Arabidopsis thaliana: one gene and its partners. The protein of the gene in region 3 purifies or fractionates together with the protein of the main gene of each other region. This does not show direct contact. Each region holds a gene or a part of one and is shown on either strand. Other genes may lie near its edges.

What was found.
Region 1: the proteins of PUR2 (region 3) and IMPL1 fractionate together in Arabidopsis thaliana (co-fractionation; one large-scale study listed by BioGRID). This does not show direct contact.
Region 2: the proteins of PUR2 (region 3) and AT3G53580 fractionate together in Arabidopsis thaliana (co-fractionation; one large-scale study listed by BioGRID). This does not show direct contact.
Region 4: the proteins of PUR2 (region 3) and GSH1 fractionate together in Arabidopsis thaliana (co-fractionation; one large-scale study listed by BioGRID). This does not show direct contact.

What each region holds. Positions count from the first base shown.
Region 1 is NC_003070.9:11,141,673-11,148,619, reverse strand, and holds IMPL1 (myo-inositol monophosphatase like 1), read right to left. Parts: upstream 3,849-6,947; 5' UTR 3,760-3,848; coding exon 3,460-3,759; intron 3,277-3,459; coding exon 3,209-3,276; intron 3,099-3,208; coding exon 2,965-3,098; intron 2,867-2,964; coding exon 2,778-2,866; intron 2,678-2,777; coding exon 2,620-2,677; intron 2,555-2,619; coding exon 2,502-2,554; intron 2,410-2,501; coding exon 2,197-2,409; intron 2,111-2,196; coding exon 2,009-2,110; intron 1,919-2,008; coding exon 1,820-1,918; 3' UTR 1,698-1,819; downstream 1-1,697. Other genes in the region: PP2-A9 (phloem protein 2-A9), read left to right, coding at 1,302-1,697; IMD3 (isopropylmalate dehydrogenase 3), read left to right, coding at 3,958-4,352, 4,422-4,533, 4,605-4,769, 4,844-4,930, 5,010-5,126, 5,223-5,330, 5,415-5,621, 5,709-5,777. UniProt on the Arabidopsis thaliana protein: Phosphatase acting preferentially on D-myoinositol 1-phosphate (D-Ins 1-P).
Region 2 is NC_003074.8:19,861,358-19,868,450, reverse strand, and holds AT3G53580 (diaminopimelate epimerase family protein), read right to left. Parts: upstream 3,821-7,093; 5' UTR 3,668-3,820; coding exon 3,392-3,667; intron 3,286-3,391; coding exon 3,118-3,285; intron 3,041-3,117; coding exon 2,970-3,040; intron 2,870-2,969; coding exon 2,812-2,869; intron 2,709-2,811; coding exon 2,529-2,708; intron 2,441-2,528; coding exon 2,356-2,440; intron 2,234-2,355; coding exon 2,174-2,233; intron 2,073-2,173; coding exon 1,999-2,072; intron 1,661-1,998; coding exon 1,544-1,660; 3' UTR 1,317-1,543; downstream 1-1,316. Other genes in the region: AT3G53590 (LRR receptor-like Serine/Threonine-kinase), read left to right, coding at 120-370, 488-622, 746-1,072; FC1 (serine/threonine-protein kinase AFC1), read left to right, coding at 4,326-4,493, 4,645-4,819, 4,922-4,948, 5,076-5,229, 5,313-5,361, 5,474-5,588, 5,807-5,898, 6,019-6,175 and 4 more.
Region 3 is NC_003070.9:3,190,458-3,197,373, reverse strand, and holds PUR2 (Glycinamide ribonucleotide (GAR) synthetase), read left to right. Parts: upstream 1-2,329; 5' UTR 2,330-2,437; coding exon 2,438-2,711; intron 2,712-2,823; coding exon 2,824-3,197; intron 3,198-3,552; coding exon 3,553-4,083; intron 4,084-4,171; coding exon 4,172-4,591; 3' UTR 4,592-4,806; downstream 4,807-6,916. Other genes in the region: SK41 (shaggy-like protein kinase 41), read left to right, coding at 48-143, 591-674, 757-859, 1,172-1,260; AT1G09820 (Pentatricopeptide repeat (PPR-like) superfamily protein), read left to right, coding at 4,960-6,780.
Region 4 is NC_003075.7:12,100,594-12,110,729, reverse strand, and holds GSH1 (glutamate-cysteine ligase), read left to right. Parts: upstream 1-3,034; 5' UTR 3,035-3,605; intron 3,606-3,964; 5' UTR 3,965-3,978; coding exon 3,979-4,304; intron 4,305-4,474; coding exon 4,475-4,625; intron 4,626-4,794; coding exon 4,795-4,902; intron 4,903-4,979; coding exon 4,980-5,072; intron 5,073-5,251; coding exon 5,252-5,335; intron 5,336-5,454; coding exon 5,455-5,523; intron 5,524-5,613; coding exon 5,614-5,684; intron 5,685-5,768; coding exon 5,769-5,837; intron 5,838-6,091; coding exon 6,092-6,185; intron 6,186-6,311; coding exon 6,312-6,401; intron 6,402-6,492; coding exon 6,493-6,573; intron 6,574-6,667; coding exon 6,668-6,760; intron 6,761-6,846; coding exon 6,847-6,927; coding exon of another isoform or gene 6,928-6,951; exon of another isoform or gene 6,952-7,025; coding exon 7,026-7,095; intron 7,096-7,183; coding exon 7,184-7,272; 3' UTR 7,273-7,369; exon of another isoform or gene 7,370-7,631; intron 7,632-8,422; 3' UTR 8,423-8,595; downstream 8,596-10,136. Other genes in the region: AT4G23090 (uncharacterized protein), read left to right, coding at 9,247-9,359, 9,480-9,538, 9,614-9,660, 9,756-9,878, 9,960-10,127.

The DNA of each region.
Region 1 (6,947 bases), 8.0 Mb from region 3:
TCCGCAGTGTACCTATCTGCAAATCCGGCTCTCCACAATCGTTCAAAACATTTTGATACCGATTATCACTACATCAGGGAGCAGGTCGCACTCGGTCTGATCGAAACACAACACATTTCAGCTACCTTTCAATTAGCTGACGTGTTTACAAAGTCACTTCCACGCCGAGCATTTGTTGATCTCAGGAGCAAACTTGGTGTGTCTGGTTCACCCACTCCAAGTTTGAGGGGGAGTGTGAGCAACAAACAAGTAACCGGCCCAACAACAACAAAAGGCCCATCTCAGCCCAGTCAAATAGAAGAAGACAAAATAGACTCCAGCTCAAAACAGAGCAACGATCGTACAGAGGAGGGGCGTTTTGCCTGATGACTCACCATAGCCAGCTACACAGCATCTGCCATATTCTAGACTGTTCCATATCTAGCTCCTTCTACAATGTCTATAAAAGAGTAGTGTAAAACCCTAATGTAATTATTGAGAAAGAAACGATTTTTTTACCAAAAGCTTGAAACTTTCTCTAATCGTTTCAGCAATGAGTGAATAATGAGATTATTATAAAAGAGATACAACTTGAGTAAATGAGTAAAATGATTATGAGTCCAAAAGAAAATGGAAAAAAGAGAAGGAAAGAATAAGCTTGGCACTTGAAGAAAATTTATGTCATTTAATTGCTCTGTTTGATTCTCAGATTCTTTATTCACATTAAGACCAACAAGTTGTGGATATATGCTTTCCCTCTCGTTGGCCGTTGAAGCATTTTTATTAACTTTGTCCCTCCAACGAAAGAAAAGTCAGGATTTTGTGTAAATTACTTATTTTTCCTTCTTCTGTCACAATCTTACTTTGAATTTTTGACATGAGAAAATAAATACTCTACATAAAGCTCATTTCGAGAGATATGGTTTTGTTATTTCTCTACTGTAAAAAAGGCAAATCAAGAAATGTCTTCACAAAAGAGTTCGCATCATAAGGCAGACTCCAAAATGGAACAAGATGTGAGTTTCTTTTCTTTGCTATTGAAGATAATTTGCAACATCTTTTTAAATGAAATCACCAAACTTTGATTAAAAATGTTTTATCTTGCTTTTGTATTTTCCTTGTTAAATTCTGCAGAACAATAGAAAAGCATGGATTTCACAACCGAGTGGTCTTAACTTTGTTTGGGGAGGTGACTCGAGATATTGGGTTATCCCTAAAGAACCAAGGTATCATCCGATTCATTCCGACTTAACCGATAAACCCAACTTTGGTTTACTGATACCAAAAATCTTAAACTGATTCATTTGATTGTTGGTTTTAGGATGCCTGCTGAGCTGAAGATGGTGAGTTGGTTAGAAGTAACCGGTTCATTCGACAAGATTGAACCCGGGAAAACATATCGAATCGGTTTTAAAATCTCGTTTAAACCGGATGCGACCGGTTGGGACAAAGCCCCTGTTTTCATGTCTGCTAAAATCGGGAAGAAAGGCAAGACAGTGTGGAAAAGAATCAAATCCGTTAGCCAGAACTTTGGTATACTGAAAGGTGGATCAGAACCCGTCAATATACCTGACGAGTCCGATGGCCTGTTTGAAATCTTGGTTAGTCCCACAGCGCTTAACCAAGATACTAAGCTTCAGTTTGGTCTGTATGAGGTGTGGACTGGACGATGGAAGACAGGTCTGTTGATCCACGAAGCCTTTGTTCAAGAAGTGTAAGGGGGAATATGATCATTATTGATTTTCATAATCCGAACGCAAATCTTATACCTCGTTTCAGTTCAAATATAAGAGCTTTAGATCATAACAATGTAATCTTATATACCTTTCTTGAACAAGTCTTAAAGCTCTGTATGATAATCTTCCGGTTTGAACCATAACGAGAAATCGATTCCTTTCGACTTCAAATTCTCAGTTGCGGGTGCAATTCTTTCCAGAAGCTACACCGATTAAACAAAAAATATGTGAGACCTGATCTCTAAGCACAACAGATTAAAAGCATTGATAAAAGTATGAACAGTTCATGAAACCTTGGGGTGAAGAACGCCGTTGGAGACCAAAACAGACCTATCAAACACAGAAAACTTCCCTCCGTCCATCCGAGTCACAGCTCCTCCAGCTTCCTCAACTATCTGTGTCCATTTTCTGACATGGATTAAGCTCTACAACTTAAGTACTTTAGTAAGAAAAAAACAACAAGAAGGATGAAGAAGACTACAAGAACACCAGCAGCCATGTCCCATGGCTTTAAACGGTACTCCCAATATGATTCCGCAATCCCAAGTGCAACATGACACATGTCAACTGCAGCAGCACCGAGTCTTCGCACTCCCCGACTCACATCAGTAAACTCTTTGAACAGTTCCATGTTAGTGCTCCATGCATCATCATGTTCATAACCAAACCCTGTGATAAGAAGTGCTCTCTCCACCTTCATTCAAACCCGAATAAATATCTAATAAACCAAAACCATTGAACACACCATGTCGAAACTTAAAATTGGATTCTTGATAAGTTACTTACAGCATCGGTCTTACTGACATGAATTTTTTGCCCGTTACACAATGCTCCACCACCTAAGAAGTGAACTAGTTAGACAAAATTTAGATATATAGCCAAACATAAGCTTGTCACATAGTACCTGCAGTTGCAGAAAAGGTTCGAGTGTTCCAGCACATCGGACCACCGACAAACTCTACCTGCATGATGAGATTTTGTTGTTAATCCTACTGACCAAAGAATCAGCAAATAGGAACTAACAAGCATTAGCTGGTTTGTGCAAGTATATATTGGATTTACCACAGAAGCAGCGGCGGGATTTCCACGATACAGAACACCGACGGAAACAGCAAAACTGGGATATCCATGAGCAAAATTTGTAGTTCCATCTATGCATAAAGGAATTAAGAGACTAATACTAAAAATCTCAGAGATTCCACACAAACACATGAAAAGAAAGCAATGAGATTTGTAAAGAGAGCTAAACCTAGAGGATCAATGCACCAGAGGTAATCAGAAGACGAATCGCCGATGATACCTCCTTCTTCACCAAGAATAAGATGATCACTAAAATTCTTCTTCACTACTTCCAAAATAGCAGCCTCGCTTGCTTTATCAGTACTGCAAATTCATCAAAAGTACTAAAACTTTAATAGCTTCAACCAATCAAGTCAACATGAACATAGTTAAAACCTCAAGCTAACAATTTTAAAAGGTGAAGAAGTCCTTACTCAGTTACTAAGTCACTGAGACCTTTATAAGTAATATTCCTTGGCTTATTTACAGCTTCCATAACCACCTAACAAACCAGATGATTCAATTCAAGTTAGTTTTGTTATTATTCTCCTTGTGCAGTTGTGCCCTACGAACCCAAGAACTTGATTCTAGTACCATTGAACACAATTTCAAGTCTCATCAAGAGTTTTTGTTTCCAATAAACATAAATTCAGATATTGTATTCTACAGACATGAAATTTCGAACCTCAGCGCCGGTTTTAGCGGCGAGTTCAACGACTTCAAGGAGGTGTGCCGGAGATATAGTTCCGGTGGTTTTAGCGCCGATTCTGGGATATCGCGTCTGATCAGAAACCTCAGACAGAACAGCTTTGGTTTGAAGTCTCGTTGTGGACTTGAAGCTATTAGACAAAATCCTCGTACACCGATATCGGAAAGTTCTGTTCACTGTCCGGCCTGAAATTGGGTTTTGCAGCGGAAGAGATGATCTGGGTAAGTGAGAGATTCTCAATGACATGTTTCCAGAGAATATTAGAGACCTTCCCATTGTTGGTGTCGCCGGAGAATTTTCGAATTTTTGTTGTTGTTCGGTTTTTGGTTTATATGAACGCGGCCAAGTGAACGGATGGTGGACATGAGAGAGTCCAAAAAGCTGATAGAACTTAAAATTGAAATTAATGAGAACATTGAACCAAAATCAGGTTAACAAATAACCAGAGATAACCGGTCTCTGTAGTATACTCAAATGGTTAGTTTTTGCCGATGGTGGTGCCCTAAACTCGAAAAAAAGATGGCGGCGTTTTTGCAAACTAACATCCGTCTGGAGATCATACCGGGAAGATACAGTTCTCTCACCGATCATAAGTTTCGTGCGCCGTATCGAATTAGGTGCGCCGCCGCTTCACCGGTGAAAAAACGGTATAACATCACTCTGCTTCCCGGCGATGGTATCGGTCCAGAAGTTATATCTGTTGCTAAGAATGTGCTTCAGAAAGCTGGATTTCTCCAAGGACTAGAGTTTGATTTCCAGGAGATGCCTTTCGGCGGAGCAGCTTTGGATTTGGTCGGAGTTCCATTGCCGGAGGAAACTTCCACTGCTGCTAAACAGTCTGATGCCATTCTTCTTGGAGCTATCGGAGGGTATGTGTAATGCGTGTGTGTGTTGTTTCTTCAGCAAATTTATTCTCTTTATGATGATTTTTTGTTCAGGTACAAATGGGACAAGAATGAGAAACATCTGAGACCTGAGATGGGTCTGCTTAACATTCGAAGAGATCTCAATGTCTTTGCTAATTTGAGACCTGCTACAGTTTTACCACAGGTATTGATTTGCTTATCACTTTGCTTTCTAGTTGTAAATATACTCAAATTTTTCTGTTTTTGCTTGTTCAGCTAGTTGATGCTTCCACACTGAAGAAAGAAGTAGCACAAGGTGTTGATATGATGATTGTAAGGGAGCTCACTGGAGGTATTTACTTTGGAGAGCCAAGAGGCATTACGATCAACGAAAATGGCGAAGAAGTCGGTTTTAATACAGAGATCTACGCTGCTCACGAGGTACTACTTACTCTTCACAATCTGCTGCTCTGTGACAATGTATGTGTATTAATGCATTGCTTTATCTTCTTCAGATTGACAGAATTGCTCGTGTTGCATTCGAGACTGCTAGGAAAAGGCGTGGCAAGCTGTGTTCTGTTGACAAAGCCAATGTCTTGGATGTATGTTTTGAATTGTTTTTCCACTCCACTCTTGTGTGTTTTTCGTTATACAATTATTTTTTTGTTTTGTTTCGTATAGGCATCAATATTGTGGAGGAAAAGAGTAACAGCTTTAGCCTCTGAATATCCAGATGTTGAACTATCACATATGTATGTCGATAATGCTGCGATGCAGCTTGTCCGTGACCCGAAACAGGTGATCTTCGCGCATATATAAAGCTTAGCCGTTGATTAAGCTAACACAGAAGTGGAACTTGTAGTACTCACGGCATTTTTAAAAACATTATTGCAGTTTGACACAATCGTCACCAATAACATTTTTGGTGATATATTGTCTGATGAAGCTTCAATGATCACTGGTAGCATTGGGATGCTTCCATCTGCAAGTCTTGGTGAATCGGTAAGTAAGACTAAATCTAATATTTCAAGGTTCCTCTGTTTATTATTATCATATATTGATTGTTAAACTTGTGATGAAAACTAGGGACCTGGACTCTTTGAACCTATACATGGTTCAGCACCAGATATAGCTGGACAAGACAAGGCAAACCCATTGGCCACCATTCTCAGTGCGGCGATGCTTCTCAAGTATGGACTTGGAGAAGAAAAGGCTGCAAAGATGATTGAAGACGCGGTCGTGGATGCTCTGAACAAAGGTTTCAGAACCGGAGACATCTACTCCCCCGGAAATGTATGTGTATGATGATTTCTGTCTTTTGTTTTGTATAAGTTAATGACAATATACTTAAAGAAGTCTTTTTGTGTTTTGAAAATGCAGAAACTGGTGGGATGCAAGGAAATGGGTGAGGAGGTTCTCAAATCAGTGGACTCCAAAGTTCCTGTTTAAGAAAAGTGTGTAGCCCTTGGTTTTACTGTTACTTTTTTGCTAATACATGTATTAGAAACTGTATTCTTGTAGCTTTTATAATAATAAAATATTTGGGATCGATTCTGCAATTCAAAGACAAAATTCTCCAAGAACATTTGACAAGTCTCCTGCCTCAGTACCTTGTTCTTGAAGATTGAGAAGTTCTCGCCAACTACAAAACTCAACATCTTCTTCAATCAATATTTGTTAAACGAATAAAGTTTCAAGAGAGACAAGAAACTATGTTTTTTAGCCGCTAGAGTATTACATTTTTCTACTGAAAAACCAAACTTATAAAACATAACATTTATAAATCCGAAAACAACTATCAATCATCAGGTTAGCCTTTGGATTCACGACGACTTATCAGATTTGCGTTCAGCGTCTGCGGCAGACTGCATTTGAGCTGCATATGGTAAGTTCCAGAGAACATCTTTAAAGGAAGTCTTGCAGAAGGTTCAAGCAAAACACATTTATTGGCGATTGAGATGGCAATTGGGTAAAGACTCCTGCGAGCTTGTTGTTAGGACCGTTGGACTTCCTATTTTCTGTCGACAGTCTTGGCTCCCAAATGACGTCTGCAAATACAACATTGCAGCAACAGCTATTAACAATGATGAAGATTTGCTTCTTTTCTTTACCCTATATGATACCATTTCGTTGAGAAGATAGGCCTCTCCTTTTTGTAGTAGGTACTGGTCCTATCAGAGATTCCAGAAGTATGAATCCAAAGTTGTACACATCGCCCTCTGTTTTAGCCATTTTCCTGCATAATTCCAAAGCTAAGAAACGTGATGAATCGAAATCGTCTGTGGCTTCCTTTAACTCTTCAAAAGAAAATGACCGGAATGAGGGCACACCTTGTGCACCTAGCTTTGCTGCTTGAGAGATTAACCCTGCAAGACGAAGTCGTACAAGGATATTAAATTCCTGAAAGACAATTGCCACCAGGCGGAGGTCTACAATTTGAGTCAAAGTTACTCACTTGCACTAGCAAGAACTTCGGAGGAGAGACTGGTGTGTGAGTTATCTCTGTCACAACCTTAAGCCGAGTTTGAGGCACTGACCTTTCTCTTGAACAACAGCAAGAGCAGCGGTTTATACACACAAGAACAAATACATCTCCACCAAGGACAGCAACCAAAATCC
Region 2 (7,093 bases), on a different chromosome or scaffold from region 3:
ATATTCCTCCCAAGTTCTTTTCTATACATGTAAGATCAGAAACTAGCTTAAAATTTTTGAGGCGCCAATCTGCTTCCACATGGATGCTAATGTATCAGTGGTTTTACATTGTCACGCAGCTAATGCTGCAGACACATTGAGCTTTAGCATGAGGTCACATGTGGCGTTAGGTTCAGCTAAAGGGATTCTTTACCTTCACACTGAAGCAAATCCGCCAGTTATTCACCGCGATATCAAAACCAGCAACATACTCTTGGACTGTCAGCTTCATGCTAAGGTTGCTGATTTTGGATTGTCACGGTTGGCTCCTGCTTTTGGGGAGGGAGATGGTGAGCCCGCCCATGTATCAACAGTAGTAAGAGGAACACCGGTGAGTTCTAAACTAGGACACAAGTCGATATGTGATACTATGTAACCTGTGGCTTTTGACAAAACCAAACATGGTTTCCCTCTCAGCTATGACATTTTGATAATTATACATGCACAGGGATATCTGGATCCAGAGTATTTCATGACTCAGCAATTGACGGTGAGAAGTGATGTGTACAGCTTTGGAGTAGTGTTGCTTGAGCTTTTGACTGGAATGCACCCATTCTTTGAGGGTACACATATTATCCGCGAGGTACTTTTCTTGACTGAGCTCCCACGTAGATCTGATAATGGAGTAGCTAAATCTGTGAGGTTTATGTTTTTTTGAATATATCTACAAATTTCCTAAGAGTTTTTTCTGTACAATGTGATACAGGTGAGGACCGCGAATGAATGTGGAACGGTTTTGTCAGTGGCGGATAGTCGGATGGGACAATGTTCGCCCGATAAAGTGAAGAAGTTGGCGGAATTAGCTTTATGGTGTTGTGAAGATAGACCAGAGACGAGACCACCAATGTCAAAAGTGGTGAAAGAACTTGAAGGTATTTGCCAATCTGTGCGAGAACCCGAAATGTTCTCAGAAACAACGAAATTACTCTGCTCCAAAACATCGCCGTCATCTTCTTCTGTACCCTCGCCATTGTCTTTACTTCCTGGAAGTAACTTGGACAGTGGCTTTTTCCACGCTGTAAAACCTCGTTGACAAATATTTGTGTGAGATAGGCTAACATCAGACTAATGAGAGTTGTGTTATTATACTTAGGAGATATTATGATACCAGTTATGTTGTCCTGATTCCTAACCATATAAGCTAATATCTATGCAGATATGGAAGCTAACCAATCTTATCATGTACATATGCGGTTTTGTATTCTCTCAAGTTTCATTTCTCTTGTCATTATGTGCAACCACGGCCATTGACAATGTCTGGTCTGGTGGAGAATCAGTGTAGAAGAGAGCTATATTCCGAGGAAAAGAAGATTTAAATTATGAACATAGATGCAGCAACAAATCAAAAGGTTTGGATACTCTGAAAACAATAAAAGTACATAAACAAAATCCATGAAACACAATCTAGCAGGACAGGTAAGAGCTTCACACGTTTGAATTAGAACACACAGACCCCAAAAGAACAACAACAGAGAGAGGAGAAGTCATCGACTGTGAAGGCCCATTAGAGCAGCGCTGATCCATAGAAAACAGCTTCTGCAGGACCCGTCATGTAGATATGGTTGTCTTCCTGTTTCCACTCTATCTCCAATGGTCCGCCCGGTAGATCCACCGTGCATTTCTGTTCCACCATAAACCAATACATATATGAGGAACTCAAGGTCACCACATGCAGCTAATCTCAGCTCATGACAATCTTTAAGCTCCAATGAATATCCAAGAAACATTTGTGTGAGAGTGAAGAACCAAAAAAAACGAATACAAGATTCTCCCACAAGAGACGAAGCGAACGAAAAGTACTTAGTAAAATCATAATCTCATCAATCGTCTACCAATCAAATCATCCAACCATTCAATGCAACATTCAGGTTTCATAAAAAATGCTTAAAAACTGCTAATCCAGTGTACCATTTTGCAAACTGTTATCTAGTTTTTTAAGTTCTGAAATTCCAAACTTACCCTGTCGGCTCGACCTTCAAGGACTGCTGCAACAACCAGAGCACAAGCTCCAGTTCCACAGGCCAAAGTTGCTCCTGCAGTTTTAAGTATGCGTAAGCATTAAGCATATAAGGATACAGAGACTGTTTATAATCAACTGAGAATTATATTCGAAGATTGGGGGGAATTTGCGGACCTGCTCCGCGCTCCCACACACGCATTTTCAAATGAGAACGTGATAAGACCTCAACAAATTCTGCGGATACACAGAAAGAACTGTAAGACAACTAAAGGGATATAAATCCAAATATAAGCGAGAAGTCTTGCTGTATCAGTCAATGGAAATCTGGATACATCTGCCGATGAATCTCCACTAACCTGTGTTAGTTCGAGCTGGGAACATTTCATGATGCTCGAACTTTGGACCAATCTCTGGTAAGTTCAAATCATCAACTTTCAGATTCTGGTTGACACAAACCAAAATTACAAATGATAAGAAATTCACGTGTAGACAAATAATATGATTAGAAGTCTAGTAACGAAACACGCACCGGTCCACCCTTTTTACCAAATGTGATACAGTGAGGATTGCCCATACTAACACACGTCACATTCCAGCTTACTCCATCAACAACTAGCTCTGCCTCAACAACAGCTTCACCTTTGTTCCCTGACAATTTCGTGGGCACATCTTGTGCTTTAAGAATCGGTGTCCCCATGTCAACCTTAACCTGTACCAATATCAATCACAAAAAATAAAAATCCAAACTTTACCTTACCCATCATCATGAATACGACTAAACCTAATATGAGACATCAATCCAAATGATCTACCTGTCCGTCATCTTGAATTTCTGGAACAATCAACCCGGCACCGGTATGTATTGTAAAACTACAAAAACAAATAAATAGACACTTAAGGTTACATCAAGCTTGACTAAACTCGGAACTCTCAAGTCTAAACAGATATTTCTCAATACAGATAGAGATACCTATGTTTTCCCTGCAAATTCTCAAGCTCAGCAATGAACCTAGCAAAGCATCGAACTCCATTGCCACACATCTACAAGAACAAAATCAAAAGCCAATGACTTCGAGCGCAACAACATATCACCAGACATTATCATCGAAAAGCCCCACCTCTGGTTCACTACCATCTGAATTGAAAATCCGCATTGCGTAATCAGTACCATTGACTCCTGGCATTGCAAAAATCACTCCATCGGCACCAACACCGAAGTTTCGATCACACAGCTTCGCCGCCTGTTCTTGAGTAATCTTAGGTTCCGATGAGTCTCTGTTATCGACCTACAAAATCCAATTCCAAAGACGAAAAATTTGAAAACATTTGTAAGAATTCGATACATTTCGGGTTAAATTACCAAATTGAGAATTCAACGGTGAACAAAAGTACCAAAATGAAGTCATTGCCGAGGCCATGGTATTTCACAAAGTGAAGAACTCCGGTTTCTTTTTTGTCTAGAAAACTCGCCGGAGAAAATTTCTCAGCTGTGACGGCGTCCATGGAAGCTGCTGCAGACACACGAAGGCTAGGGCTCTTAAAGCAATATTCTTTCTCAAAGAAACCAAACGAAAGAGAAGATACGGATCCTAGATTCCTGGAGAACGCATTCGACACTCTGCGCGATTGTGGCGCGACGGAGACAGTGCTAACGGCGGCTATCTCCATGGCTGCTTCAGATTATTTTTCTTGTTCAACGACTCTCCCGTCTCCTCCATATTAAAAGACTTTGGAGAAAACACCCCATTGTTCTGATATTAAATAACTGAACTCCACGTCGTTTTTATCCTCAACAGTAATAACATCATGTCGTTTCTTTAGTCAACATATATTTAATAAAGGCCTGACTAAAAAAGCCCATTAAGAACTTCCAGAGCCTCTGTCGCTCCTTCGCTGTTCTCTTCCTCAGGTTCTCTCTCTCTCTCTCATTTCAGTCTCTTTCGCTGTTAAATATTTTCTCCTGAGATTTTTTTCTTCAATTCCAATTCAGTGAGCATTTTTATTGTTTCTCCGATCTGAATTCCGGCGATCAAATTACGACAGCGACTAATTCAACGTTTTAAATTACTCTGTGTGAGAGAAATTTGCGGTTAGTTTATTAGCTACATTACTTCCACTTTTTTTAATATATTTTTCTGTTACTTTTCCCACCTTTTTTAGTTATCTTCTGGAGATAGATCCCCCCCAAATTGAAGATAACTAGGGTTTCGAATTTCGGAATCTTATTATCCCTCTAATTAGATTCGAAATTCAATCGCAATTCTCTCGCTGTTCATAATCTGGGTTTCTGAATTTCAGCTCTGGATTTGCATTTTTCTAATCCTTTATGCAAAGCAGTGTGTATCGTGATAAAGCTAGCTCGATCGCGATGATCTTAGAAACTCAGAGGAATGTTGAATTCCCTCATCGGATCGTTGATAAGCGTCCCAGGAAACGTCCCCGATTGACTTGGGATGCTGCTCCGCCTCTTCTTCCTCCTCCTCCTCCACCCACGGTAACGAATTGTCCACATATTGTATTGGTATCAATGGACTGTTCTTTTGTTGTTTTCATAAGATACTGCGAATTGTGTTAACTAGTAAGAAATTAAGATTTTTATTTGTGTGCTTGAGCTAAGTTTCAGCTGATGTGTTTTTTTCTTTCAGGTATTTCAACCTCCGTTGTACTATGGTCCGGAGTTTGCGAGTGGTTTAGTTCCCAATTTTGTTTACCCAAACATGTTCTATAATGGCCTTCCTCGTCAGGGCTCTCCTCCCTGGAGACCAGATGATAAAGACGGCCATTATGTCTTTGTTGTTGGGGATACTTTGACTCCACGATGTGAGTCTTATGTTACAGAGTCTTTCGACATCTTATCTGTTACGTTTCACAGACTTTATCATGGAGGTTTACATTGACATGCCTCTTCTATTGTGCGTGCAGATCAAATTCTCAGCAAAATGGGTGAAGGTTAGTCATCTCTTGCGAAAATGTTTATATAATCATTATGATTAGATTATTCTGTTTTTCAAAGTGTAGGAGAAATATGTTTATTTGGTCGCCAGTTATCTTAATCAATTGGATTGTATTTTGGCAGGTACATTTGGACAAGTATTGGAATGCTTTGATAATAAAAACAAAGAAGTCGTGGCAATCAAAGTTATACGGTCCATAAACAAGTATCGTGAAGCTGCCATGATCGAAATTGACGTGCTGCAGAGGCTTACAAGGCATGATGTCGGTGGTTCTCGGTAAGAATATTTCTTTCCTCTTACTATTTCTTCGCTAGTTTTAATTTTATTACATTTGGTATAAGCTTTTCAATTCCTTGCAGTTGTGTGCAAATACGGAATTGGTTTGACTATCGTAATCATATTTGTATTGTAAGTGCTGTTACCTTTATTTGACAAGTTTGAGGGGAAAATGCAATTTCTTCACGCCCAAATGTTATGTGAGTTAAAAGAACTTGCGCATGGGTTTAAATGGTTTCAACAGGTATTTGAGAAGCTTGGACCAAGCTTATATGATTTTCTCCGCAAAAACAGCTACCGTTCATTTCCCATTGATCTTGTTCGGGAGCTTGGCAGACAACTTTTGGAGTCTGTTGCATGTGTGTGGAATATTCTTGACCCATTCTTCTATATAGTAGTCCATTAGTGCCACAAATCATTTTTCTTAACTTTTTGATACAAGACTTAGGCGTTAATAGTTATTACTTAATGTTCTTTCGATAATGCAATTTCCATGGAATCCATATTGCTCAGACAGTTATTTCTGGAGACTTTTGTTGACTAGTGTACTCAGACTTTGCTCATTCCATTCTGACAGATATGCATGATTTACGGCTGATCCACACGGATTTGAAGCCGGAGAACATTCTTTTGGTATCGTCTGAATATATCAAAATACCTGATTATAAGGTGAGCAATCAATCATCTCCAAGCTGGACTCATTTATTTTCATGGCTAATATGATATCCATCCATGAAGGAACTTGTATAACTCTTGACCCTTTTCCTATGTGTGGTCATGAAAATCTAGTTTCTATCCCGACCCACAAAAGATGGGTCATACTTCAAGAATCTGCCCAAGTCAAGTGCCATCAAGCTCATTGATTTCGGAAGTACAACATTTGAACATCAAGACCATAACTACATTGTATCCACAAGACATTACCGCGCACCAGAAGTTATCCTAGGTAAACGTTTATGACTCTGACACATCTACGTAGATGATTATTTTTTTGTGTAGTCATGGTATTTAAGAGTTTGGAACGTTTATTGCAGGGGTTGGATGGAACTATCCATGTGATCTGTGGAGTATTGGTTGCATACTTGTTGAACTTTGTTCGGTGAGTAACTTTATGTTTGCATATCTTCCGGTACACCACCCTATTCATCTCACCATGTCTCCATCAACGTTTTCTCTGGATTAAACCTTGCAGGGAGAGGCGCTTTTCCAAACGCATGAAAACTTGGAACATTTGGCCATGATGGAAAGGGTCCTAGGACCTTTACCACCTCATATGGTGCTCAGAGCCGAGTAAGAACAATAATATCATCCTATTTGCAGCATCAGATACCAGCAGAAAATAACTTGAACTGTCATTTCTTATATCAAAACCAAAACGGTTCTTGCAGCCGGCGCTCTGAGAAATACTTCAGACGAGGTGCGAAGTTAGACTGGCCTGAAGGTGCGACATCAAGAGACAGCTTAAAAGCAGTATGGAAACTTCCCCGGCTACCGGTAAATAACCTTACATTGGACTTGACATCCGCTTATCTGAAATATTGAAATTAAGGAGACCAGTTTTTTTGCATTTTGCAGAACCTGATAATGCAGCATGTGGATCACTCAGCCGGTGATCTGATAGACCTATTACAAGGTCTGCTTCGATATGATCCAACAGAGAGGTTCAAGGCAAGAGAAGCACTGAACCATCCCTTCTTCACAAGAAGCCGGGAACAGAGTATACCACCCTTCAACCCAAACCCTCATCCATTTTTATACAACCAAAAGAACTAAAAAAGAAAAGAAAAAAGAAACAGCAGATAATGTTTGGATACATCTGCAGTTTCTGTGTATCCTTCAGTTTCCTGTGTTTTTGTAGCATTTT
Region 3 (6,916 bases):
AGGAAACCTTGGTTTTCTTATTTCATTTGCTTTGATATGTCATGCAGGTTTTAGGTACACCAACAAGGGAAGAAATCAAGTGCATGAATCCAAACTATACAGAATTTAAGTTTCCGCAGATAAAACCTCATCCATGGCACAAGGTATGCCTTCTAATGTTATTGATTATCACCTACCAGAATAATCTTTAATCAGTGGTTTTGTTGGTGAATGCATTTTTTCAAAGAGGAGTTCTGGTATTTGTGATGGTTTGGAGTATGAATCATTCAAGAGTAAATATCAAAAATAAAATTAATGTTGTCATTTCCTCTGCTTTATAAAACTATCTGTGGTAGAGTTGAAAACAATTGGCTAAATGATTGTGGCTTTAGTTCTAGTTTGAGTATTTCTCTCTGGTGGAAATGGTTTTCAGGATTTTGTTCTCTGACATTCTACAACTTGGTGGTTTGCACTTTGCATTAAGCTGTATCTAGGATTTTTTATTTTCCCATAGTAAAAAAAGGTTTAATTGACTTCAGTGATAATTATCTCCTTGAGCTTCGCTTCTCTCTGAATCCTTATTACTGCATGAATATTCTATTTATGCTCAGGTGTTCCAAAAACGTTTGCCACCAGAAGCAGTTGATCTTCTTTGTAGGTTCTTCCAATATTCCCCCAATTTGAGATGTACAGCTGTAAGTTAATTCGTTCCGTTCCCTCCATATTAGCATCTAATGATCTAAATTCATTAAAAACACTCTTCTGGTGTTATTGTAGTTGGAAGCTTGTATCCATCCGTTATTTGATGAGCTAAGGGACCCAAACACTCGTCTTCCCAATGGCCGACCACTTCCTCCACTTTTCAACTTTAAACCGCAAGGTACAGTTCCCTTATTTTTCTTGTTGGGCCTATTAAGAGATCTAACATATGTAGTATGCTCCGTTAAGTTGTTGACATGTTGCGTTGTGTTCATGATTGGTAATACATATAAACATCATTCAGTGTTAGTATATGCTCTTTGAATATTGAGGATGCTAAATAAATTGAACAAGTATGGTGCCGTTGTGGCCTCTGAAATATATGATTACTAAGCAAAATATATAAACACTTTGTTCTCCATAGACATGAACCTGTCATCCTTAACTTTCAGTACTTCAAAATCATGAACTGAGGTTTTATGTGTTGTTGCAGAGCTATCTGGCATACCTCCTGAAATCGTGAACAGGCTTGTCCCAGAGCATGCCCGTAAGCAGAACCTCTTCATGGCTTTGCATTCGTAAGACGCTTATCGGTTTTTGCATCTGTATAAGCAAGCTCTCTTGATATCAATATTTGGAGCAGCCAGTTTTCAGCCATTTGGCTTTTGTTTTTGGTGAGTTCTTTTTCTTTATTTTTTTTCTGTTTGGTTGGTTATATGTCGATGAGGATGCATGAATACAAACAGTACTTGAGGTTTGCTGGTTACAGACCACTTGTTTGTTTCACGGCCACCATATAACCTTATCTATCGCAAACTGTTTTAAAGCATGTAAATTACTAACCAAAATTAATTGCATCGTTTAGTTTTACAAATAGAAAAGAAAAATCAACTAAAAATTAATGACTTTGCCGCTCATGTGTTTGCACATTGTGTTTCTGTGAAAATCAAACCGATTCCTTCGTGAAAATAGCCGTGTCTTCCTCCAGATCGTGAATTTGGTACTTCATACTTACCGGTCAAAAGCTCAGAAGCAATATTTCAGTCATGGCGAACCGTATAGTATATATCAAGGAAAACCTCATAACATAAACAAAGGTTCAGAACTTCAGACAAAACCTGTTTTAGATGACAGAGTCATGGATCAATCTCAGCCCAACAACATTAAAACTTTTCAGCCCATCAAACCCACCAAGTTTAAATTTCTTTTCTCTCTTGAATCTTGATCCAGTAGCTGATCCGACAACGTTTTGATGTTTGGTCGAAACAGTTGAAGTCTCTTCCTCTTAAATGTGATTATCAATTAAAAAATATTATTTGACCCAAGATACATGGGTATTGGGCCTCCAAAAGTTTAAGCTTTTTAGTAACAAAATTAGGCCTCCAAAAAAATTTGTTATTGCAAAACTATATCCTATATTCTAAAATTTTAATATTTAGTCTCCATTTTTAAATTTATCTATTTTTTATTTTCTAAAAGTTATAGGATTTAGTCTTAATTTTTAACTTTTATCAACAAAACTCATTAAAGAAAAAATTATTTTGTATTGGGCCTTATCAGGACCGGCGTCTACAAATAATAATAGACAACAAAATTACACATACAATGAAGATGTTTTATTGGTCACGATTTGATTTGGTATTTATTCTTTAACTACCAAAAAAATAAGTAAACTCAAAAACAAGAAGGGAGGAACCACTTTAAACCCTTGTCTACGCTGGTCCGAGTCCAGAGTCCTCTACTTTGACAGTCTCCCTCCATGTCGTCGTTGTGTGCATCTAATTGCTATCCTTCATCTTCTTCTATCAATCTCTTCTCCAACAACAACAACCCAACTAAACCCTTTCTTCTCTCCCTCAGATTCGCCTCCTCCAATTCTCTTCCATTTGTTGCTCCTCTCAAATTCTCTACTACCAATCACGTCCTTAGTAACTCTCGTTTCTCTTCGAACCGAATCCAAAGACGCCTTTTTTTGCTCCGATGCGTTTCAGAAGAATCTCAGCCGTCTCTTTCTATCGGTAACGGCGGCTCTGGTAAATACCCTTTTGCTCATTATGAATTAACAAACTTGGTTGAATGTTATTGTAAAGATATCGAATTTGAACGCCATTGATTATATAGTAATATCGATTTCGATTTCTGCAGAAGAGAGAGTGAATGTTCTTGTAATTGGTGGAGGAGGGAGAGAACACGCCCTTTGCCACGCCTTGAAGCGGTCTCCTTCTTGTGATTCTGTGTTATGCGCACCTGGAAACGCCGGTATATCCAGTTCCGGAGATGCCACTTGTGTACCTGACCTTGACATATCAGACAGTTTAGCTGTCATCTCTTTCTGTCAGAAATGGAATGTTGGTTTAGTGGTTGTTGGCCCTGAAGTGCCTCTTGTTGCTGGTCTCGCTAATGACCTTGTTAAGGCCGGTATCCTCACCTTTGGCCCTTCTTCTCAAGCTGCTGCTTTGGAAGGTTCCAAGAACTTTATGAAGAATCTTTGCCACAAGTACAATATCCCTACTGCTAAGGTTTGCGTCGCTTTCTCTTTTTCATTTATCCCTGATGGTTACCAATTTCTTCCCTTGCTGTGTTAGGATCCATAAGGTTGCTATGTAAAGATTATAAGCTTTGAAGTGTTCAACTGTTAGCTATAGGTCTGCTTTAATCTAGCCTAGTACTTAATGTAGCAGGTTATAGCTGTTGTGAGTTGGTTAGAGAGCGGTTAGTGAGTGCTAGGTGTACTATGGTTTGGTTGGCTATGTGGTTGAGGGCTCGGTAAATCGGTGGAATAAAAGTAGTAGCAGATTCGTAGCTTTGATATTATCTTAAGGATTCCAATTTGATGTGGCTAATACGGTATTATTGAATGGAATTCAAATGCAGTATAAAACATTTTCTGATGCATCTGCCGCGAAAGAATACATTCAAGAACAAGGGGCACCGATTGTGATTAAAGCGGATGGATTAGCAGCTGGAAAAGGAGTCACTGTTGCCATGGAACTAGAGGAGGCTTTTGAAGCTGTTGATTCTATGCTGGTCAAAGGTGTGTTTGGTTCTGCAGGATGTCAGGTGGTCGTTGAGGAGTTTCTCGAGGGAGAAGAAGCGTCCTTCTTCGCACTTGTGGATGGAGAAAACGCCATTCCTCTAGAATCTGCTCAGGACCACAAGCGTGTTGGAGATGGAGATACCGGTCCTAACACAGGCGGCATGGGAGCGTATTCTCCTGCACCGGTCTTGACCAAGGAGCTTCAGGATTTTGTGATGGAGTCTATAATCCATCCCACTGTTAAAGGAATGGCTGAAGAAGGATGTAAGTTTGTCGGCGTTCTGTTTGCGGGTCTCATGATCGAGAAGAAATCCGGTTTGCCTAAGCTTATTGAGTTCAATGTACGGTTTGGAGATCCAGAATGTCAGGTGAGAAACGCCACCTTTTCTGAAAAAACCTTGTTTAGTCTCGGTATGATTATTGCTCTAAACAATGCAGATTATTGCTTAAATACAGGTATTGATGATGCGTCTAGAGTCTGACCTAGCAAAAGTTTTGCTAGCGGCTTGTAAAGGCGAGCTAAGTGGTGTATCACTTGATTGGTCAAAAGATTCAGCAATGGTGGTTGTAATGGCAAGCAATGGTTATCCTGGTTCTTATGAGAAAGGATCAATCATCAAAAACCTTGAAGAAGCTGAAAGAGTTGCTCCTGGAGTGAAGGTTTTCCACGCAGGAACGGGTCTAGATTCAGAGGGGAATGTTGTAGCAACTGGGGGACGTGTTCTTGGGGTCACGGCGAAGGGTAAAGACTTGGAAGAGGCGCGTGAAAGAGCGTACTCGGCAGTACAACAGATCAACTGGCCTGGAGGTTTCTTTAGGCATGATATTGGTTGGAGAGCTCTTCGCCAGAAACAAGTGGCGACCAAAGAAGAGTGATGAGAAGGAATTTTGTTGTAATGGCTTGTAAACCAAGAATCCAAAAACTTAAAACTCACTCCAATCTGTTAAGAGATGATTCAAAATAACATTTTTGTTTACATAATTTGTGTCAAGATAAGCAATGTAGGTTAAACCCCTCAAATCCACTTCAAAGCACAAATGATGAACTTAGGAAGCAGCAGACACTCTGATCTTTACGAAGTTTCAGTGGTAGTTTCGTAAAATTTCGCAAAGAAACATCTGAAATTGTATATTGTAAAGTTTGAGGTCGAAAATAAAACGAAAGAGAGAGATGCCAGTGGGTGCAAAATTCACAAACCCTAAATTTCAAAATCCCAAGTCTCCTTCCTGTCCAGCACGAATCAATGTTCCCCAAATCCTTAGCCGTAAGTAGAAAAAACTCGAATTTAACAAAAGGAGTCTCTGGTTTAAGAAGACTCTGTTCTTCTTCATCTACCATCACCGGGAGCCCTTGCCCACCTAGATATGACGTAGCTGTCATCGCTGATCTCATAGAGAAGCAGCACTGGTCAAAGCTCGGAGTTCATGTGACAGACATAAACCCTAACGAGCTGTTTCGACAGTTGATAAGTTCTGAGCTTGACCCAGATTTGTGTCTCAGGTACTATTCCTGGTTAGTGAAGAACAGTGACATCTCTGTTTCACTTGAGCTCACATTTAAGCTCTTGCATTCTCTTGCCAATGCGAAAAGGTACTCAAAAATCCGATCTTTCCTTGATGGGTTTGTGAGAAATGGATCTGATCATCAAGTTCACTCGATTTTCCATGCAATCTCTATGTGTGACAATGTTTGTGTCAATTCGATTATAGCTGATATGTTGGTATTAGCTTATGCGAATAATTCGAGATTCGAGTTAGGATTTGAGGCGTTTAAGCGTTCAGGTTATTATGGGTATAAGTTGTCGGCTTTGTCTTGTAAGCCTTTGATGATTGCGTTGTTGAAGGAGAATCGTTCTGCTGATGTTGAATATGTGTATAAGGAGATGATTAGGAGGAAGATTCAACCAAATGTGTTCACTTTCAATGTTGTGATCAATGCGTTGTGCAAAACTGGGAAAATGAATAAAGCTAGGGATGTTATGGAGGACATGAAAGTTTATGGGTGTTCTCCAAATGTAGTTAGTTACAACACTCTCATTGATGGGTATTGTAAGCTTGGTGGAAATGGGAAAATGTACAAAGCAGACGCGGTTTTGAAGGAAATGGTGGAGAATGATGTGTCTCCGAACTTGACTACATTCAATATATTGATTGATGGGTTCTGGAAAGATGACAACCTTCCGGGGAGTATGAAGGTGTTTAAAGAGATGCTGGATCAAGACGTGAAACCGAATGTGATCTCGTATAATTCATTGATAAATGGTTTGTGCAATGGAGGAAAGATCAGCGAGGCTATTAGTATGCGCGATAAGATGGTAAGTGCAGGTGTGCAGCCTAACCTAATTACTTACAATGCTCTTATAAATGGGTTTTGCAAGAACGATATGCTGAAGGAAGCTCTTGATATGTTTGGCTCAGTGAAAGGCCAAGGAGCTGTTCCCACTACTAGAATGTATAACATGCTTATCGATGCGTATTGTAAGTTAGGCAAAATCGATGATGGCTTTGCACTGAAAGAAGAGATGGAGCGGGAGGGGATTGTACCAGATGTTGGAACTTATAATTGCTTGATTGCTGGTCTATGTAGAAACGGTAACATAGAAGCAGCTAAGAAGCTTTTTGATCAGTTGACTAGTAAAGGACTTCCTGACCTTGTGACGTTTCACATACTAATGGAGGGATATTGCAGAAAAGGTGAATCGAGAAAAGCAGCAATGCTTTTGAAAGAAATGTCAAAGATGGGGCTGAAACCGAGACATCTGACTTATAACATTGTGATGAAAGGCTACTGTAAGGAAGGAAATCTGAAGGCAGCAACGAACATGAGGACACAGATGGAGAAAGAAAGACGGTTGCGAATGAATGTAGCGTCATATAATGTGCTTCTGCAAGGATATTCTCAAAAGGGAAAGTTGGAGGATGCAAACATGCTTTTGAATGAGATGTTAGAGAAAGGTCTAGTCCCGAACCGAATAACCTATGAGATAGTTAAAGAAGAAATGGTAGATCAAGGTTTCGTCCCAGACATTGAAGGGCATCTATTCAACGTCTCTACCAAATCCTAATCTTTCAGTGGCCATCATGAGAAGCAATTTCATGCATGATTTGCTTTGCTCCACGGTGCTTCCTGATTTCACCATAATTCAATCTCTCTCTCTCACAGAACCGGACCCTGCAGAATCTTGTTCTATCAGAGACCAG
Region 4 (10,136 bases), on a different chromosome or scaffold from region 3:
AAAGATATTAGATTAATGTTGTAATTTTAAATCGTACCGTTTGTTGGACCGAATCAGAAGTCTCTAAACTAATTTTTTCTATTTAAAATTTGGTGCGATACAATAATTTTTGTAAAATTTATTTTTAATAGTTTAACTTTGTATGATAGAGTTCAAAGATTCAATTCTTACAAATTATTAACTAATTTAATTATCTAATTGAAAAAAAAAATTCTTCATAATTATTTATTAAGTCAAAAGTAAAAAAGGGTAAAAAATCCGTCTACAATACTTAATTAGGAAAAGATTTTGTAGTCAGATATCTTACCTTTTTATACTTTAGAATTATAAACATTAGCTACCAAACATTTGAATATAATAATTTTGTAAACACTTTGTTAGGAAAAGATTTTGGCAGTAAATGTATATGGTATTAGATTTTTTAAACAAAGAAAATAAGATTTTTCTTTATATGATTGTTTTTTAATTTGGTATTTTTTAATAAAAATGATTTTTTCATTATTGTTTTTATCTAAATAAGGATTATGGAGATCAAATGAATTTTTTTATCTTATTATATAAAATACATTTCAAGACATTAATTTATTTATTTTTTTCGTTTTTATCTTCAAATTACATTTTTTTTTTAAACTCCTTATATAGTCATTGTTTCCCTTTTATTCTTCTATGATCAGACAAATATCTCTTTAACCATTTAACCTAAACGAACAAGTTTAACAATTGTCTTAGTTCAATGAATTCGAATTATATTTTAAAAATATATATTTTAACTTATAAGTAAAGTATTTCTAGTCATAGAAGCATAAAAAGAAAAACTAGAAACTCAACAATAAGAGAATAATTTTAAATCTAAATTATAAGACAAAACCAATAAAGCTTTTAAAATATGTCTTAGAAGTTAGAACAAATGAACGATGAACTGTCTTGAGATGGATTTCACATAATATGAGTATATGACACATAATCTCTTAAAGTTTTGATTGATTTTCATTCTTTCGGCTGTTGAATATGCCCCGGCCCTCACTCTTGTAGTACAATCTTTTTATCGGTACACACTGAGTTACGTCACTGTCGATGTCAATATCCATTATGGTGGTTTTAAATCATGAGAAAGAATCGAGGTTAATATCAGTCGATTAGTATGAAAATCGAACTGATTTACAAAGATAAAAGATTGGAATTAAAAAAGGCTCTTGATCTATTTTCTAGCTTGTTTTCTAGAAAGAAGTGACCCTGGTCTATACGACCTCCTTAGTCAATCCATGCAAATCATAACGTCCCCATCTCGATGTCTACCAATTTAACGTTTCCTTTTTAATTTGTTAGATATGCCCGTTTTATTTTGACTTGCTCAAACTGTATAGGGCCATCACGAGCTAAACTGATGTGACTTGGGCCTGGTGAGAGTCATGAAGCTCCGGAATGTTGTAGCTCGATGTTACCTATATAAGCTTTCTTTATGGGCCTTGAATAGGCCGAGTTCAAATGTGAGAATCCAACACCAACAGCCACTTAGAACAACTTTTCAAGATTGTGTATCATCTACCTCTTCGGCCATATTAAGAATATGTGTAGTTGGGCTTCGGTGAGACTTATGAGTTGGGCTTGCCATGACAATCCCAGATGTTACTTTTCTCTTAATCCCTAGGAAGAAAATCTTTTGGTAACTTCAAATCATTATAAGCGCAAATAGCTAGCTACTATGTCTGATGCATTTAGTTACTTTGTGCTGAGGATTGGGGTCTTTAATGTGAAATCGAAAGTTTAGGGTTTCTCGTGGATATTAGAAAACGTTAAGGTTGGAATATAAAGGAAAAGATTAACTGAAAGAGTCTGCATAGCACACTCCAGCTTAATTCCGTATCGTTTTAGGATTTCTGACTTCACTCTTTGACGGCTATATATTAATGTGATTTTCCATTATGTCAAATGTTAATTATTATTTTTTAGATAAGTTTTCGTGAAAGTTGAAACGGTGTGACTTGTGAGTGACGAATGTATAGGAAGAAACTGTGGAGGTGGGTTCCGTTTAAGGCTTTGGTGGTGTGGAGATTAGAAGTCATGGCCGCCATTTTTGAGTCACGCACGTGTCCACCTACCTTACCTTCTTATAACTTATTCATTCATGTGTTCGATAAAATATATTTGATATTAATTTAAACATACAACATAGAAGTGCACAATTACAAGAGTTTTTTTTGTTTTTCTATTTTTGTCGCTACAAGAGTTTTTAGTTTTTACTTACGTTACGTATATGCAAACGCAAGCAATTCTGCATCTATTTGTTTTTCAATGGCAGCCATAATTGATATCAAATAAATAAATTACTAATGCCACATGTTTTTTTAGCACAGCTTCATAATTCATAGGAGTATCGATATGTAACACAATAATGGATCTTGTAGTAAAATTTGAATAGAGTCAATTAAAAAAAAAAAAAAAGATAGAGTCAATCTGTGCGATATAATGAAATTAGAACGAAGCTCGAATTTTAAGATTTTAAATTATAACAAAACTCAAATGTGTTATAACATTCAAAAAAAAAAAAAAAAAAAAACTTAACACAATAATTAGTTTTTCTCATTTTGAGAAAACCAAATTCTCGAAAGTATGTGAAAAATACCATGGAATTTGAAGGATTTTGTAGATTACCAAATAGTAAACAAAATTTCTAAACTTGTTTTACTATGATTTTGTCACGAATACAAAATCAAACTCAGATAGAGAAATTAGGTGATATATAGCCATAATTGTGTTTACTACTAAAAATACAGTTATTTCTAAAAATAAGGTAAATGACCACCATGGTACCATACTATTCCATGAACAATATAGACAAATAGCCTTCCATTGTTATAATTGGGATATTGTCAAATCCATCCCGTATCTATATATATTATTATACACAAGTAGAACTTTTGATGGTGATTCATTATCTACCATTCACATGTTTTTGTATCATTAAATTGTTGATTATAAAAGCAGGATTTGATTCCACCTACTAAGAAGTAGGAAATATAAAAACATAACGCCAATTTTCGTTCATCAGAACCAAGATTTTTTTGTCGACACAATCAAACCAAATAGATAATGATACTGTTTTTTATAGTAGTATATATATTTCTTTTCCTATAGAGTATTTTATCTGAGGTCATGTGGTTGGTTAGTGACACACTTTTCATTATTTTACGTTCTAAATTAAATATCGTAAAGTTAAACCTCGTTTAAAGTATACTATAAAGAATAGAAATATCATTAATTCATTATACACACTATAAAGTTAACCTTTGTTTAAACTACTAATAAACTGGTTATTTAAAAAACTATTAGGGTTAAATTTGTGAGAAATGGAAAAGTAAGAGGCAAAAAACGAAAGAATCTTTTATTACAATGATTATTAATTTTATCAACTTTCTTTTATAGACAGCTCAGCTCCACTGATCGGCTCATGCTCCACTGATCAACTTTCTTTCATTTTTTTATCAGTTTCTCATTTCTCTCTCAGTCGCATATAAATTTGAAACGCCGATTCGTTTTTGCTCTTTAAGCTTTCTTCTTGATTTCGACGGTGTCTCTCAATCTCCGTCAAGCTTGACGAATTTCAGGTGTGATTTGCTTCTCTTCTTCTTCGCTTTCTGGACTTGTGGATTTTGGTTTTTGATTGATTTGTTCTGCTTTTTTTTTTTTGGTTGAATCTTCGCTTTTTCTCATGATTTTTTTTTGGCTGTTGCATGATTTTGGTTTTGTTAGAGTCGAATTTTTGCAGATTTTTGCTTTGATTTGATTTTTGTTGTTGTTGTTGTTTCTGGTTTGGTGATACACGAATTTTGATTTGTTCTTCCAGATGATAGTTCAATTCTGTGGTAGCTGCTGATTCTAATTATGTGATATATGTTATTAGAATTGAGAAAAATGCAGTTATTTGTGATTTCTCATAGCTTATGATGAATTGTTATAATTGCAGGAGCTATATATACCATGGCGCTCTTGTCTCAAGCAGGAGGATCATACACTGTTGTTCCTTCTGGAGTTTGTTCAAAGGCTGGAACTAAAGCTGTTGTTTCGGGTGGCGTGAGGAATTTGGATGTTTTGAGGATGAAAGAAGCTTTTGGTAGCTCCTACTCTAGGAGTCTATCTACCAAATCAATGCTTCTCCATTCTGTTAAGAGGAGTAAGAGAGGGCATCAATTGATTGTTGCGGCAAGTCCTCCAACGGAAGAGGCTGTAGTTGCAACTGAGCCGTTGACGAGAGAGGATCTCATTGCCTATCTTGCCTCTGGATGCAAAACAAAGGACAAATATAGGTACAGTTTGATGCTTATATGTTCTGTTAAAATGCTACTTAGTGTTTGTAATTGTGACATATTTCTTTGTTTGTGCTCTTTTACGGTGTTGGTATTGTTTGAATTCATCCAGATTGTTTGTCTATTGGAGAAATATTCTGTTTTGCTAACTTAACATTGTGAGTTTTCAGAATAGGTACAGAACATGAGAAATTTGGTTTTGAGGTCAATACTTTGCGCCCTATGAAGTATGATCAAATAGCCGAGCTTCTTAATGGTATCGCTGAAAGATTTGAATGGGAAAAAGTAATGGAAGGTGACAAGATCATTGGTCTGAAGCAGGTTAACATTCTCCTGTGTTTCATCTTTTGAGCCGTTTATTATTTATATACATTTTCAGCCTGTAGAACATGTTAGCTTCATATACAACACAATGATCGGTATATTATAAGGTTTCAGTCTTTTTTTTTTTTTTGCTGTAGATAACTCGTTCTGTCCTTTTGTTGACCAGGGAAAGCAAAGCATTTCACTTGAACCTGGGGGTCAGTTCGAGCTTAGTGGTGCACCTCTTGAGACTTTGCATCAAACTTGTGCTGAAGTCAATTCACATCTTTATCAGGTAATTTCAAAGATAATTATTGCCAATGCTCTCACCCTAAAACGTGACAAATAACCAACTATCTACGGATGTCACAGGTAAAAGCAGTTGCTGAGGAAATGGGAATTGGTTTCTTAGGAATTGGCTTCCAGCCCAAATGGCGTCGGGAGGATATACCCATCATGCCAAAGGTATGACGCTTTCTCTATTCTTAAGATTGAAGAAAGTTAACATCTGTTTGTTTCTAATTCAGATAATATTATCTGATTCTACATAGCCAACGTTCGGATTATTTCTTGGTGTTTGTGTTAAGTTTTCCTATGACGAGTCAGGCAGTAAGATTTGACATAGTGTAATGTGTTCTGTGCAGGGGAGATACGACATTATGAGAAACTACATGCCGAAAGTTGGTACCCTTGGTCTTGATATGATGCTCCGAACGTGTACTGTTCAGGTTAGATTAATATTCTGACTTTGCGCCTTTTCATAATTTCCTTAAACTAAACTTTCCAGTTCTCATCAATAATCTTATTTTGAAACTTATAGAAACTGCATTACTTGCAATCTTGACAGGTTAATCTGGATTTTAGCTCAGAAGCTGATATGATCAGGAAGTTTCGTGCTGGTCTTGCTTTACAACCTGTGAGAAGCTCGATCTCTTTGTGGCATAACCAGAAACTTTTATTAACGATTTTGACTAACCATTGCCTCACTATTATCTAAATTCAACAGATAGCAACGGCTCTATTTGCGAATTCCCCTTTTACAGAAGGAAAGCCAAACGGATTTCTCAGCATGAGAAGGTATCTAGATTCAGTTGTTATGATCCCCGATATCTTTTTGAATTAGTTTCCCTCCCACCTTATAACTCTGGTATGTTTTGACAGCCACATATGGACAGACACTGACAAGGACCGCACAGGAATGCTACCATTTGTTTTCGATGACTCTTTTGGGTGAGTATCGATGTTTAATCTATGAAAAACAATTACATTACATTGGTTGGTTTGGTATGAGAAGCTTCTCAAAAACCAATGACTCTGTCTCGCATTCTTGATGAGTTATTGGAAAATTGATATGTGCTATTCTGTGGATTTTCTTACATATGTTTGTGTTCAAGATAGAAAGATGCTTTGGATCTTTATCCTTCTCTTGAAACAGCATGGCTAATCTTAATTTTATTGCTCTCTTTTGTTCTTATCTGGTATAGGTTTGAGCAGTATGTTGACTACGCACTCGATGTCCCTATGTACTTTGCCTACAGAAAGAACAAATACATCGACTGTACTGGAATGACATTTCGGGTCAAAATCTATCCTTAATCTTTTCTGTTAGGTTCTATAACTGTTTCATTGCAAGGAATTGGCAAATTGAAAACCATGGGATCTTCTTGAATTATATCTAATCTCATAATATTCTTCATGCTGCAGCAATTCTTGGCTGGAAAACTTCCCTGTCTCCCTGGTGAACTGCCTTCATATAATGATTGGGAAAACCATCTGACAACAATATTCCCAGAGGTTAATCATCTGCCTCAAGAGTCTTTCAATCAGCCTATGACTTTCATTTCCCTGTCTTATGTTGAAGTCTGACAACGTTCCATAACACTAGGTTCGGTTGAAGAGATACTTGGAGATGAGAGGTGCTGATGGAGGTCCCTGGAGGAGGCTGTGTGCCCTGCCAGCTTTCTGGGTAACTACATCTATTAGCACATATATATTTCGTGCTTAATGAGAATGTTTCAAAAAGTATTGACTGTTGTTTTGATTTTATCTACAAATTTCAGGTGGGTTTATTATATGATGATGATAGTCTCCAAGCTATCCTGGATCTGACAGCTGACTGGACTCCAGCAGAGAGAGAGATGCTAAGGAACAAAGTAATAACAAGACGCACCACATTTACATTTTCTTATTCCACAGTTAGAAAACATCTTGTAATAAACTAATACTTGATTTCCAACAGGTCCCAGTTACTGGCTTAAAGACTCCTTTTAGGGATGGTTTGTTAAAGCATGTCGCTGAAGATGTCCTGAAACTCGCAAAGGTGTGTTTGTATGAACCCTCTTAGAAACTTCGAGCCAGCTTTCTATCCCGTCTGGTCCAGCTTCTAACTATTGGACTTATTTTCTCTTTGTTTCTCAGGATGGTTTAGAGCGCAGAGGCTACAAGGAAGCCGGTTTCTTGAACGCAGTCGATGAAGTGGTCAGAACAGGTAAATGAAGTTTCCTAATGCATAATTGAATTCCACACCGACATTTTGTTTGATAACCTGGTGGTGAAATTTGGTTTTGAAATGACAGGAGTTACGCCTGCGGAGAAGCTCTTGGAGATGTACAATGGAGAATGGGGACAAAGCGTAGATCCCGTGTTCGAAGAGCTGCTGTACTAAGAAAATGGGACGTGAACAAAAGGTGTCTATAAACCTTTGGGTGTGAGTTTATGCTATCTGAAGAATTCGAGTCTCCGGAATAAGGATTTTTTTTTTTGTTGTAATCGGATTTTAAAAACTGATTTTGTTTTAGAAATTCGAAGCATTGAAAAGCAGAAGAAAAATTGTATGTACTAAACGATTTCGGTGTGGGAAATCGTTTGGGAGGGTGTGTTTGGATCTTGAATAAATTACCCATTTTTCTTGTCACAAATTTGTCTACATTTAACGAAATAACTCAAAACTGATTTCAAGGCAAAGGCGACGGATGGGATAATCTAGGCTGTGTAGTGGAAAGTTTTGATGTTTAGTAATTTGGCAATGTATGTTTTTTTCTAAATGGGAGAGCATCTTCGATGTAGACATTTACGAGCTTTTCCTTTAATAGGTTTTGGCTAGTGAAGAACACTGCTTTCATAATTGAATCCACCAGACTCCGCGTAAACTAAACTGATTACAACACGATGATCCTGGCCGTCGGTAATTATCGTAAAACAAGAAGATAGTGGCACTTAGGTGACAGGATAATATGTAAACCCTACCAAGGCGTCCCTACAAAATGATGAGTGATGACTGATGAGAGTGAGAAAAACCGAGTCTCCACAGTCCACACACTGCCTTACCTAATTAATATACCCACCTTTCATTCATGTATGTTACGTCAACGTTTTTATGTCCGTTAAAACTGTAATCTACATAAGAGATCATAATTTTTAAAATCTCCATGTATTTCGTTGATACTTTAATTTGGCACGTTTCTAGTTTTTGAGATCAAATGTTTTTAATCTGCTTCTAGTCTTATTTTTCCTAAACCTTAAACTGTAAACCAATTGCTTTTTCACATAACCTTGCTTGTTTTCAATTTTAAAATTTAAGTCCAATATTTGAAACAACCTAACAAATGTCGTCTATGGCAACCAAAAAAAAATAAAAAATCAAAACAATTTGCTAAAAAGGAAATTGATTAAAATTGATTTCTTTCATTTAAATTGGAATTTAATATATTAGGTAAACATGTAAACGCAATCGCAATTTTTATGAGAGACTTCGGGCCGGTTCGTTTAAGTGTCGCTGCGACTATAACTAGCGACTGGCTTTAAAAACGACTGAGTTTTGTTTGTTTTTATTGTTTTTTTTTTAAGTTCGAATATGTCGTATAGATCTGTAAAATAATTCAAATGTGGCTTTGTCCCATAGATTGGTTTTGATTATGCAATCATCTATCACAACAGTGGAACATTATGCAATCATTTATTGTCTATCAAATTAATTATGGTTATGAAATATGAAGGATCTTACATCTTAAAAAGTGTTAATTATGATCGCATGCCATTTAGATTCTTTCAAAAATTCAGTTTGAAAGTGGAAAGCGCGCCAAAATTTGCAGAAATCAAAAATCCGTTAAAAAACGTTACCAAAAAAATATTTTAAAACGGGCCAAAATATTTCAAATGTGGATTCCATAGATTGGTTTTGATTATGCAATCATGTATTACAACAGTGGGTTGAAATCACTTCTCCTACCTGATCATTAGCTTCAAAAGTGCCTTGGCTACAGTAATAGGATTTTTCATGTATATGAAAATATTAGTTCAAATGGGAGACAATCTTTTGAATTGGTATAGAGGTTGTCAGGTTGATCAATGATTCAGGGGAAGAGTGATGACAAATACTAAGAAATGATCCAGGAGGTTGTCATCCGTTTTCCTATTAATAGAATTGGATAAAAACTTATTTGACTTCTAAATATTTATTAGGTTGAACATTTTCTCAGATATACTATGAAAACAGTCAAACAAAGGATAGTCAAATTTGCATCCGTGCAAAATATTTATTGTGTAGAAAATTAGAAAGCAACTCTTTAATTAGTTTCTTCACTAGCCTAAATATATTTCCCCTTCTCACTGTTTCTACTTTTGATTGATTTACTTATAAATGCCGATTGAGGCAACATTCCTCCATACTTCAATTTCTTTCTTTCCGCTTAAGTTAACGATTTGGAAAAACATGAGCGAGAACTCTTCGATTACAGTGGATCAGCCAACAACGTCTGTTTTCTTCTTCTTCTTCTTTCTTATTTACAATTTATATTTTCTTGTATTTATCAATCTTGGAGTCTTGAATCTAAACAATATATATAATGATCTCTTTTTCTTCAATCATCACAGAGAAAATGGTAATGGCCAAGGAGAGCAGGTGATTCAATTGGGTAATATGCCGCCTCCTCGTAAGTATATTTCCAATCTTCAAAATTAGGGTTTCTTTGAGGGATCTTGAAAATGTCATTTTCACCTCTTTGTAGTGTCACCACCCACCGCACGCAGAATCCTAGTGATCCCGCATGGAGCCGTAAGTAGTTTATTTTCCTCCATTAGTTCTGTTTCCATACAACTTCTTCTCCTCTTGAGTTTTCTAAAAGAGATGTTTTGAACCTCGACCAACAGGAAATTGTCAGTGTACTGGCATATATTTCTAGGGCTTCTCGTCAGGCAGTCTACATCTTGTCAGGGAGGGGATGCGTTTCACGAGCCAACTTGGTGTCGTTACCAATCCGAGGAAACCGCATGGTAAGTGTTTTAGTCTTAATCATTCAATAGAAGCTTTTTTAGTTTCCAATTGTTTCTCTGATTCTGCTTGGCTATATATAGGGTATTGGGAGAATACTTTACTTGAGTGGATGGTTCCAACCGATGCTCACTGATGTAGGTGTTGCTGTACATTCTAGTCGTCCCAACGGAATACTTCACGTCTCCCTTTCAGGTGTTTCACCAAGTGTTGCTATTGCATATCAACTTTTTGCTTTCGGAGATGTTGAGGTGTTGTTG